3 linked regions of the Arabidopsis thaliana genome follow. The protein of the gene in region 1 interacts with the protein of each later gene in a pairwise test. Each region holds a gene or a part of one and is shown on either strand. Other genes may lie near its edges.

Region 1 (3,761 bases):
AGAATAATCTTCTTTTACTTATGAGTAAATTTTGGTTCTGTCTCGAGGACGAGAAATTGTATAACTCTTTCTTAGAAATAAACTTATTTTTTCTTGAGTCCTAATTTATCCAATAAGAAAAATTATAATGTGAGTGGGGCAACATGGGAGGGATATAATTATCTATTATGTTTCATGATGGAGACAAAGACTTGTGATCGTAATTATTGAATCAAATCATTGGTCCAATATTTAATAATGTCTAATGACTAAAAGATTTAAAATTCAGTCGAGACCTCAGCATCTAGGCTTATTTAATTATTAGTGGTTCCAATCTTGTTACAGTGACAATGGACTAGGATGACAACTTGCTATAGAAGTTTTAGGAATAAAATTATTTAAATCACCCTTAATCTCTCCATGTTTAAAGCTTAAAAGACATAAAAGACATGACAATGAATTTTAAGAGTGATTTTAATTAATAAAATTAAATAGAAAAAGTAGGAAATTTTGTCAAGTTTGAGTTGTGATCACGAAAAACACTATCTAAAGTGAATGGGATCATTGAATTTTATGAGTGAGATAGTGACAAAGGAAAAATATAATTAATACACAGATAAAACATAGTTTATCATGTACCATATTGTGGGTGCATGGGTGGGTCCTTATGATAGTGTATAATTTTGAAATCTGACTATCTTACTATATAATCTTGTGGACTTGGTCTCCAGCAACTTCTACACCAGTCTACTAGGAATAAATATGTGTTCAATAATGGTGATTACATATGCCTAATCTATGAGTTTTACCACAAAATGGCACTAACTGCGAAACGTTAAGAAAGCTAATGTAGGTTTCTCTCCAACACTAGAAAACATAAGATTAATTAAGTCAGAAAATATTTTTTTAGTTTTTTCAAAGATGAGGAAATCCAAAACGAAATAACTTAAAGCTGCAAAACAAAAAAAAAGAATATAGAGAATAAGAACAATTCTCTTTTGGACATCTTCACAAAAGCTAAAGAGAAATTTTTTAACTTTTTGATTTAAAACCACATACTTTACTTTTTGAAAGAAAAAATAACCTATCTTTCTATGGCAAGAACAAACCGTAGGTCTCACATAATCTAGAGATTTTACAAAACATTCTCTTTACTTCGTATCTTATCTCCATTAATCATCTAATAATATCTAATTAAACCCACAATGATTCGTTGGCATAGTTGCATAACCGATATTTAGTCTAGATTTACCTCTAAACCAAACCTAAACCGGAAACTAGAAATTTCGGGGTTCTTTTTATAAAAGAGAATAAAAGAAGAAAGAACATGCCTGGAGAGGAGTGATCTTAGAGGAGGAGAAGAACTGATCGGCGGTGATGAATTCTTGGTTGAGTTTAGGACAAACATTAGTATCAGCCAAACAAGCCCTTAGCCTTCCCCAGTTCTTGGAATCCACAACGTTCTCCTTAAGCCAATTCGAGAACCCTTCAAGCCTATACTCTTTATAACCTCTACCCGGAACCCGATACGATCCATCGGGCCGGGTCACGACGAATGCAAATATAAGAACCACCAGCAAAAGTCCGATCAATATCGCCATACAGCACAAGTAAACCGCCAGTAGAGTTTCCTTGTACCTGAAATATGAGAGCTCAAAGTTTACATCTTTATGATTCAATTTGTGTCTATGTTTTCAAAGTCTTGAAGTTCTTTGATTCTTACTTGTAGGCGCCGATGAAGCCTGTGGCGGAGACGACGAGGATGAGAACGCCGAGGACGACAACGGGCCAACGGAGGAGATTGACACACTCGTTGTCTGGCTTTGAAGCTAGCCATATACCTGACGCCGTTATTGGTATGGAACAGAGTAACGCTAGTAAGTTGAGTATCGCCGTTAAGTTATTCGCTAACGCCATTAAATTTTCTCTCTCTCTCTCTCTTTGTTCTTGAAGATTCGTGCTTTTTATGGAAAGAAAATGAAATAATGAGAGTGAGAGGAGTGTCTCTGTTTTTGTCTTAATGACTTATGAGGTCGGTGGTTAGAGATGATGGGATGTGTGAAACCAGTTACTGCTATTTACAGAAAACGATGTTCGGTTTGGTCCGGTCCGGTTAATCACTGATTTTGCTGATTTGGATTTTTCGACAACGGTGGTTTTAAGAAAAAAGAATTAGATATTGGATTAAAGTTAACATGTGAATGTCAGAATAAAATATGTTTAGCAATGAAAAGTTAGGTTTTGAACAAGTTTTGGGTTGTGATGTAATAAAGAGAACTTGTTAATCTGGTCGGACCGGCTTTTGGTTTAGAATTTGGAATCTTGAACGGGACACGTGGATACGCGAGATGCCTTTTGTGTTAATATTCTTCCATTCTGCGAGTTACCGAATGCATCAACCAGTGAGAACTATCCACGTGGCACCGACGACTTTGGGTCATTTGCATTGAACGTATGTTACTTTCGACAGAGAATGCAAAATGGAGTAAGTTCCATTGTTCGGAAATCGGAATTTTCTTCTTTTCCAAGCATTAGAGGTTTCGGAGCAGGATTTGTCGTTGGCTGATGAGTGAAATGTCGGGTAATGGTCAAGAGATAAGCTTTTGTTTTGGTTCAGAGGATTGGGATTGCACACAAGCTGCTCGATAGAATGTGTGAACCAAAACATATGGATGAATTTTTCTCATCTCGATTTTATTGCGATTGGAGAAGAATTTTGAGTCAATACACACTTAGCTTTCAGTTTTAGATGCTGATATAGAAATGCTATTTGTTTGATTCTAGGAATTGGGAAGGAAATGAGTCAAATCAGAGAGAATATGGAAAGAGATGATGGCGGAGTTGTGGATTACGTTAAGAGTTGAATTACATCTTATAAATCATGAAATTGACTGTCAATCTTAGAGCTTAGATTACAAGCTCTTTGTCTAATCTCAAGTTCGACACAGAGCTTGATGAGACTGCTTCAGTTTGGCTTTGGAACTTTTCAAGTGGAAGTGAAGAAAGAAGAGTGAAGTAGTATAGCTGAATCAGCAAGATTCTGACATGGCTGGTTATTTAAATTATAAGGAAACACAAGAAGAAGACAAAGTTTTTATGATGTGAGTACAGAAGCGTCAAATTCCAGATGCATCCTAGGCTGAATCCGCATTTCCCATTTTCTTCATGGTCTCAAGTCTGGGGCCTTTGTCTCCAAACTTGGTAGTTGAATAAAGCTTTAGGTAGTCTTGAAAACGGTAGCCACTTGGATACAAGAGCTTTGGAGCTGGAGATATTATGGCATCACCAGCCGGATTGTAAAACGTAGCAATCGACAGTCTACTTCCATGCTTCACTGTCATTACACGGTGAACAACACTCTTGTACCTCCCATTACTCAGTATCTCTAGTTGATCACCGGTATTGACAAAAATGGTATTGTTCTTGGATGGCGGTATAGGAACCCACTTCCCATCTTTAAAGAACTCAAGACCAGGCACTTGATCATCCTGCAGGAGTAATATGATTCCCCCAGCATCCGTATGTTCTCTCAGCCCTCTCATAAGCTCAGGACGTGGGCATTCTGGGTATTTAGCCACTTTTGTTCCAAAAGCTGGACCTTTTGGACCAGAAAAGGCATTCATTATGTCTTCCTGATCAAGACCAAGATTCTCACACATGAGCTTGGAGAGTCTCTCTGCAAACTTGTGCAGTTGACAAACATATTCATCCATCGTCTTGCTGCAAATATCAATTTCACCCTCTCACATTGTTTAGTTAAATAAGCAAACAGGTAAAAATGG
Region 2 (3,761 bases), on another chromosome or scaffold:
TTTCTTCTAATGCATTAGTTTACATTTTGCTAATGGACTAAGCTTTCTTCTCTCTAACTTTCAGACATATTTGGAAGTAAAAAGTTTCCAAATCAAAAACAATTTTCTTGAAGAATTAAATATTTTGATCCCCAATCTCAGCTTCAGGCCTTTTTCTTCTTCTGCATTCTCTGCAGCTTCCTCCATTTCAGGTAAATTTGGTAAGACAATCCACCGAACACCATCGACACACATCCCCATTGTTTGGAAGATAACGGATTCCCGCTCAAAACTGAAGATACCACGATGCTTACAAACTTCCTGGTTGTGGTTATGGTCGTGTTAGCTAGAGACCCGAATCTGCTTATTGTCAAGAAGATGAAGTTTTGGCCTACTGCACCGCATAAACAGTACATAAGAATGTCCCATGCTGCCTCAGGGTGTTGCTTGCAGAACTGCACAGCTTCAAATCCGCTCCCATGTGGCAATCCAAACATGTAGACCATGTTGTATATGGTTCCCCATAAATTCATTCCCAGCATTATGTCCCATGCGTTAGTTTTGGGGTACCTGTATCCATGTATGGCGATGATTAATGTCCAACATCTAGACCATGTTGTAGATGTCAGACTGGGTTAAGTATCTGACAGAATGTCAAGAGTCATACCTTGCGGTAATGGAATCCTGGGTTGCGTTTGTGAATCCATCAAAGGCAAGGTTTAAGAAGCAAAGCCCGTAACCAAGGGGTGCATTGGGATGTGCTAGCTTGCTGATGGTTTTAGAGCTTGTCTGTAAACCAAGTCAAAGACGGTTTACTACATTTCCACAGACAAAGTATAACAAAGATTATGATCAAAGTTCCTGAATGCAGATTTGCCTACCTTAAGAAGGGCAAACATAGATACTCCTCCGGCAACAAGAAAGGTGCAAAGATACTCAGGCAAAGTGTATCTTATGCCATAAACTAAGGAGCCCATCAGCATAACTACATGAAAGAAAAAACATATATAAGATACACATAGCAGCAGTTGAGAGCGATTATGGATTGATGCTCTAAATTGACACCTCACCTGGAATCATTTTGGAAGATTTTGCAAGGACCTGCAAGAAGCAAGTTTTGCATCAATATTACTTCCCAAGAAAGGTTATTACCTCAACTATCAACCATAATCAAGAAAAATGAGGTTTTTATTACACTAACAATGCCTAATTTACCTGAGCTGGGTAACTAATATACTTTAAAGCTTCAATGCCCATAGCAGGACCAATGGTATTAGTAATGCCAGCACTCCAATACGTCCACCATGGGGCTCCACCAGAACCTCCGTTGGACCAGAGCTTAATCACTGCTCATAATCAATCAAAAATACTTCAGTTCCATTTATTCGTCTGTTATAAACTTATAATTCTAAGGAATAAACAATGAAGATGCCCTACTCACTTATATAAGACCAAACCAAGCAGATTACATTCTGAGCCAAATTCAGAAATGCAAGATGCTCGAATCTCTTCCCATCTTCACCAAATTTCTTCGTCGACCTAATTCGAAAATGTTAGAGTTCTATCAGCTACATTTCTATAAATTTCCAATAATTGCAAACGCATCACCAACCAGGATTCCGAGAATAGAAACAATCTCGAACAAACAGAATCGAGCAATGTCGAGAGAAAATAATCAACGAGCTAAAATAAGATTGATCGATTTCGACCCTAACGAGTTTTACTTACAAGGTCTCTTGAAGAATGCCTTGGTATATGTAAGCTGCCCAGATCCCAGCGACACAGAACGACAATAACAGAACTCGCCGGAGACCGGAACCGTGAGATTCCATCGCCGCACGTCGCTTATTGTTTTATCCGACGGAGCTCCGGCGAAAATTTGAATTTCAATTTTACGCTATTTGATCAGTTTTGCGATCAAATTATGAGATCGGTCTGAAGTGGAAACGAAAGTTATTAGAGAGAGTGTAGGAGGCGCGAGAAAGACGTAGATTTTCCACGTGTAACTGTGTCATTGGCTTAATAATCTGACATGACACTTCTGATTGGCTATAGGACGTGGATTTATTTCTGGAATCCAAGTCATATGCACATTCATGTCTGAGATAGGAATGGGAACTATGTGCCGTTTTATTGTCATGAAAACGTCACGCAGTTTCCTAGAACTTGTAAACGGATGTTCTTTTTACAGCTTGGGCCTTAATTTGATTAAGCAAACTTGCACACAGCTAATCATGTCAGTTTGACTAACTGATGAATTCATACAAATCTAAGATCACTTGTGGTAAGAAAATGAAAGAAAAAGGCGTATATACACAAATGGAGGAAAGTTGCCAACATGATTTAATTGATTAAAATTTAGTGATGACCCATTGTTAAGATTACTAAAACAAAATATGATATATCTTAAAGTAAATGTGACAATAACGTCAACATAGCGAGAAAAGTTTGAAATATCGAATTTCCATTATATTAAAACAAGGTATCACATGCATGCACTCATGCATAGTTCATTATGATTTGAGTAATTTTCTATACGAATAATATTATACTATATCTCAATGAAAATAGAAGTTATATATATTGGGAAACGGAATTTATATGACATACTTAATCCTCATGGGAGAACCAATTATACATTTTGAAGAGTCAAAAGTCAAAACTCAAAAGAGTGACTCTTACCGGATACAAAATGAAAATAGAAGTCTTGGTGAGATAACAAATTAATGTGTAACATAACAATATAATATCATAAAAGATTCCAAATGGGGCTTTTGTCCACACGTGATATGCAATATGCAAAAGAAAAAAGAACTCTCTTTCGATCTGCCGGTCAATAACAATGTGAATATAGATTAACTGATTAATAAGTAGTTTCTTGGGTCAATGCATGGGATATTATATTTAAGAAATACACCAAAAATGTATTCGACGTTAGCCACCACGTTCCATTAAAAATTCAAATCTAAATGATGATTACCGTCGTCTACATCTATGATTACAAATTTTTTGTCTACTATGCGTTTAGTTATTTACCATGGTTTGACGATTATATATATAACACACATAAATTATGACGGTTTAACGTTGTCTCTTAACTCAAAACTTAATTTTACAAAAATATTATTTAAGAGTTGAATCTCATACTTTAATTATTCATTTGGTCAACTAGAATGCGAAAAATCCACAATACTTCGTAACTAATTTCGGGTCCTTTAAATCTTGATCACCTGTTGATCAACAAAAGATCTACACATAAAGATTGATTCATCCATTGACTAAACTTTTATTTATCGAAGAAAGACTATATATATCTAATGCATGCATGCCATATGCACAATAATCTAATAGTAAATCCAATACGTCTCAGAAAGATAAAATCGTCCATAATACCAAATTTTATTCTAAGGTTTTGATATCTCTCATAATTTGGAAGTGTATGTAAAAGTTTCTTAAACATAAATATAACATCCAAAGAAAAGTTGTAAACACTTAACATCTTGATTGAAGGGGAATCTCGCTAATAATTGTGACTGAACGATAGTAAGTATTATTGTAAAATATCGATCAAAATTTCAACGATATGGGCGATCCAGACCCACCACTTTGTTGTCCCTTAGCAGACGTCAACCATGACCATAATTAGTTAAAAAAAACACCAAACAAAAACCACAACTTCCTTTTAATTCTTTTTAAATTCTAAATTTCAGACTAACAAAAAGTATTCATAAGCTGTTTCATGTATGAATTTAATATCATGAATACTAATAACTTGAGCCATT
Region 3 (3,133 bases), on another chromosome or scaffold:
TACAGAGGTATTGAACTAATTGTGTTACTCTTCCTACATAAATTAAAAAGAGAGAAAATCAACAATATAAAATTGTATGGATACGATTTCATGGAATAAAATTCTTTAGATTGTGGAAAAACTTATATTAGAATCTTTATAGATCGAGCTAGGAATAAAGAAATATGTGGGTAGCAGAACTCATGCAACCTTTAAGAAAGTCATGTGTAATATTATCGATAAATTATGATTAAAAAATGAATAAATTCAAAGGCAAAATCTAAATTAAAAACGATTTTCTACACATGTTTAAATATCTAAACGTGATTAGTTTACTTTATGAATTACCAGTACAATAAATATTTGAGAATTCTTTTAAGTCTTAAACTACACAATTCCAAAATTCCAAATACAGTAAAAGTAAGGGAAAGAAAGTCTTAGGAAGGGTACTTACAAATTTAAGAAGTATTCCTTAATGTTTTCAGTTTTCTAAAAAACTTGTTGTATTTCTTTGATAACGCCTTCATATATATATATATATAATATATATATATGCATATTTTGATCCCAACATATATATATTTAATGTTTTATAAAGCATACTTTGATGCAACATTTCTACAAGTTTTTTTTAGTTCTTATAAAACAGTGGTGTTTCAATTTTATTAGAAATCAGACCAAAAAATGGTTTCAAATTAATATTTGCAAATCGAGATCTTAAACCCCAACAATATGTTCTAAAATTTAAGATATTCGAGCATCACCGAACTGTATTTTTGAATCAGCATTCCTAGTTCCTTGAGAATGAGAATTATAAGAGGATGATGTGAAAGTTTATGGGCAAAAAGTTAAAGATGATGTTCGTGGCTACGACGTGCATTTCTTGTCCCCCAGTATCGAATAAATTGTTAATTTCAAACTCATTTTCGACAATGATTCCTATAAGTACTGAAATGGAATAAGAAGGACCTTGAGGAAGAATTTGATGACAGCTTCTTTTTAACACAAATCAATATTCTTACACACGGACACACCAAACAACATTACAAATTTACAATGACATGCATGGTCATTTTGCAAATTTTTTTCTCGTTTTATTCTAATCTAATTTCGTTCTGTAAAGTTTTATGTAAATGTAAATTAAAGATTTCAGTAAAGACATAAGAGTATCACCATCAATTAGGAAAAAAATAAAAATGAGTTCTCATTAGAAACTCTCCTGCCATGTGACATTTTTATTTTTATAGTAATTAATAGCATTAATATTATATAGGTATTAGATCCTTGAAGTGGATGGTGCATATATTATTTAAACAAAACAAATTTTAACTACTTTTAATTTATAGCGTTGACAATAACTAATTAATCTAAACTAATAAATCAAGTACCTAGGCTACCATTTTTTAATTAGAAAATCGATCCGCCGCGGATTGTTATCCACCCACAAAAATAAAAAATTCGTTTGCAAATGTGATAGGCAAGCTAGTTCCTTGCAACCAGCTATATTTTTATGTAGTGGAGAATATTTAACAACTAACTGGAATTTTAAAAACACAAAGCGAAACTAAATTGGTATAAGCTATATATTCTTGAAAAAATAAAAAAATCAACGGCTAGAACTAAAGAAGGATAGCAAATTGAATCATATTCCTTTGCATTTACTTATTTATTTATAACCAACAAATTAAGTTCTCCGATTAAAAGCTATATAATGCTCCTCCTTGTCTCTCTTCTTTGCATATCAGTATATCACTAGCAAATAAGTGAACACCATTTCTTCATACATACACATTCCGAAGATAATGGGTTCCAATGTTTCATCTGTGCATGATGTTCATTCATCAATGGAAATTACCAGTAATGGATTTGTTGTGGAAATCGAATCAAGAAGACAATGGAAATCTCTCTTTGATTCCATGAAAGGCTCAAACAAATTGGTATACATTACTCGAAAACTACCTAAAACGTATTAAATTTTTTTAACCAAACTTATAATGTTTGTTTTAAATCTTATACTATTTGTGTTTTCTAATTTTGTTTACAAGTAAATGACATGTTTTTTCTCTTAAACTAACTGAAAAAATTATTGTGGTTTTGAAGCTAGTAATTGATTTCACAGCTGTATGGTGTGGACCTTGTAAAGCAATGGAACCTAGAGTTAGGGAGATTGCTTCAAAGTACTCAGAAGCTGTGTTTGCTAGGGTTGATGTGGATAGGCTAATGGTAATTACTCTTTTTTTTTATTACTTGAAGAAGAATCATCTTATGGTTTCAAGACTAAGCTATAATTGGTATGTATTCCAGGATGTGGCTGGGACATATAGAGCTATTACACTTCCAGCTTTTGTTTTTGTGAAGAGAGGAGAAGAGATTGATAGGGTTGTTGGAGCCAAACCTGATGAGCTCGTGAAGAAGATTGAACAACATAGGGTTTAAGTTTTTTCTTTTCCCTTACAAAAAAATGATTATTATACTTTTGAATGTCTGTTCTGAATTGATTGTTTGAAGTTGGGTTTCTGGTTTGTTGTTTAATTTCTCAAAACAATATAAATAATAATGTCAAAAATGAAAACAATTAACAAAAATGTTGTAGTTATATTTGTATGAAATCTAATCACCCCAACGTAAGCAAAACAACATAACAATGGTAATGTGAGTATGGCGACTAAAAGAACTATACCATAAAAAAAAAAAAAAAAGAGTCCCATTCCAAGTATATGTTAAAATACTAAATGGAAAAAAACAAACGTTACATAACATTTTCGAAGAGCTTGTATGAAGTTGAGAGTTACATATATAACTTATGAAAGCAGAATAAATTAGATAACAACAAAGATAGCTTTTACAACAAAAAACAATCAATTCTGCTTACTATTTCGTGATCAAGATATGAGATCAAAAACGAAAACCGATCAATTCTGTATATGTATGTACACTGAATTGACCTTTTGAATTCAAGAGCTTTCTTGAAACTAGTTGCCAATTCAGCTACCACCAAGAACTCTCTTGAGATCTGTCTTCTGTTCCGATGTTAGCCTCGAGGGGAAACATATCTCAAAGTTGATTCTTAGATCTCCTCTCTTTGAACCTTCTTTAGAGATGGGCATTCCTTCACTAGGAATCACTATCTCCTGACCCGGTTTAACGATATCCA

The links.
Region 2: the proteins of TET2 (region 1) and UTR3 interact in a protein complementation assay, tested with the Arabidopsis thaliana proteins (one large-scale study listed by BioGRID).
Region 3: the proteins of TET2 (region 1) and TH7 interact in a protein complementation assay, tested with the Arabidopsis thaliana proteins (one large-scale study listed by BioGRID).

The regions. Positions count from the first base shown.
Region 1 is NC_003071.7:8,473,126-8,476,886, forward strand, and holds the start of TET2 (tetraspanin2), read right to left. Parts: upstream 2,029-3,761; 5' UTR 1,897-2,028; coding exon 1,703-1,896; intron 1,618-1,702; coding exon 1,311-1,617; exon of another isoform or gene 480-1,310; intron 1-479. Other genes in the region: ACO1 (ACC oxidase 1), read right to left, coding at 3,114-3,699. UniProt on the Arabidopsis thaliana protein: May be involved in the regulation of cell differentiation.
Region 2 is NC_003070.9:4,911,219-4,914,979, forward strand, and holds the start of UTR3 (UDP-galactose transporter 3), read right to left. Parts: upstream 1,950-3,761; 5' UTR 1,812-1,949; coding exon 1,708-1,811; intron 1,519-1,707; coding exon 1,421-1,518; intron 1,326-1,420; coding exon 1,195-1,325; intron 1,081-1,194; coding exon 1,050-1,080; intron 965-1,049; coding exon 861-964; intron 769-860; coding exon 647-768; intron 550-646; coding exon 144-549; 3' UTR 1-143. UniProt on the Arabidopsis thaliana protein: Essential sugar transporter required for the transport of UDP-glucose from the cytoplasm into the Golgi and the endoplasmic reticulum. Essential for pollen development and involved in embryo sac progress.
Region 3 is NC_003070.9:21,952,041-21,955,173, reverse strand, and holds TH7 (thioredoxin H-type 7), read left to right. Parts: upstream 1-1,693; 5' UTR 1,694-1,781; coding exon 1,782-1,916; intron 1,917-2,079; coding exon 2,080-2,202; intron 2,203-2,283; coding exon 2,284-2,415; 3' UTR 2,416-2,577; downstream 2,578-3,133. Other genes in the region: AT1G59725 (DNAJ heat shock family protein), read right to left, coding at 2,964-3,133. UniProt on the Arabidopsis thaliana protein: Probable thiol-disulfide oxidoreductase that may be involved in the redox regulation of a number of cytosolic enzymes.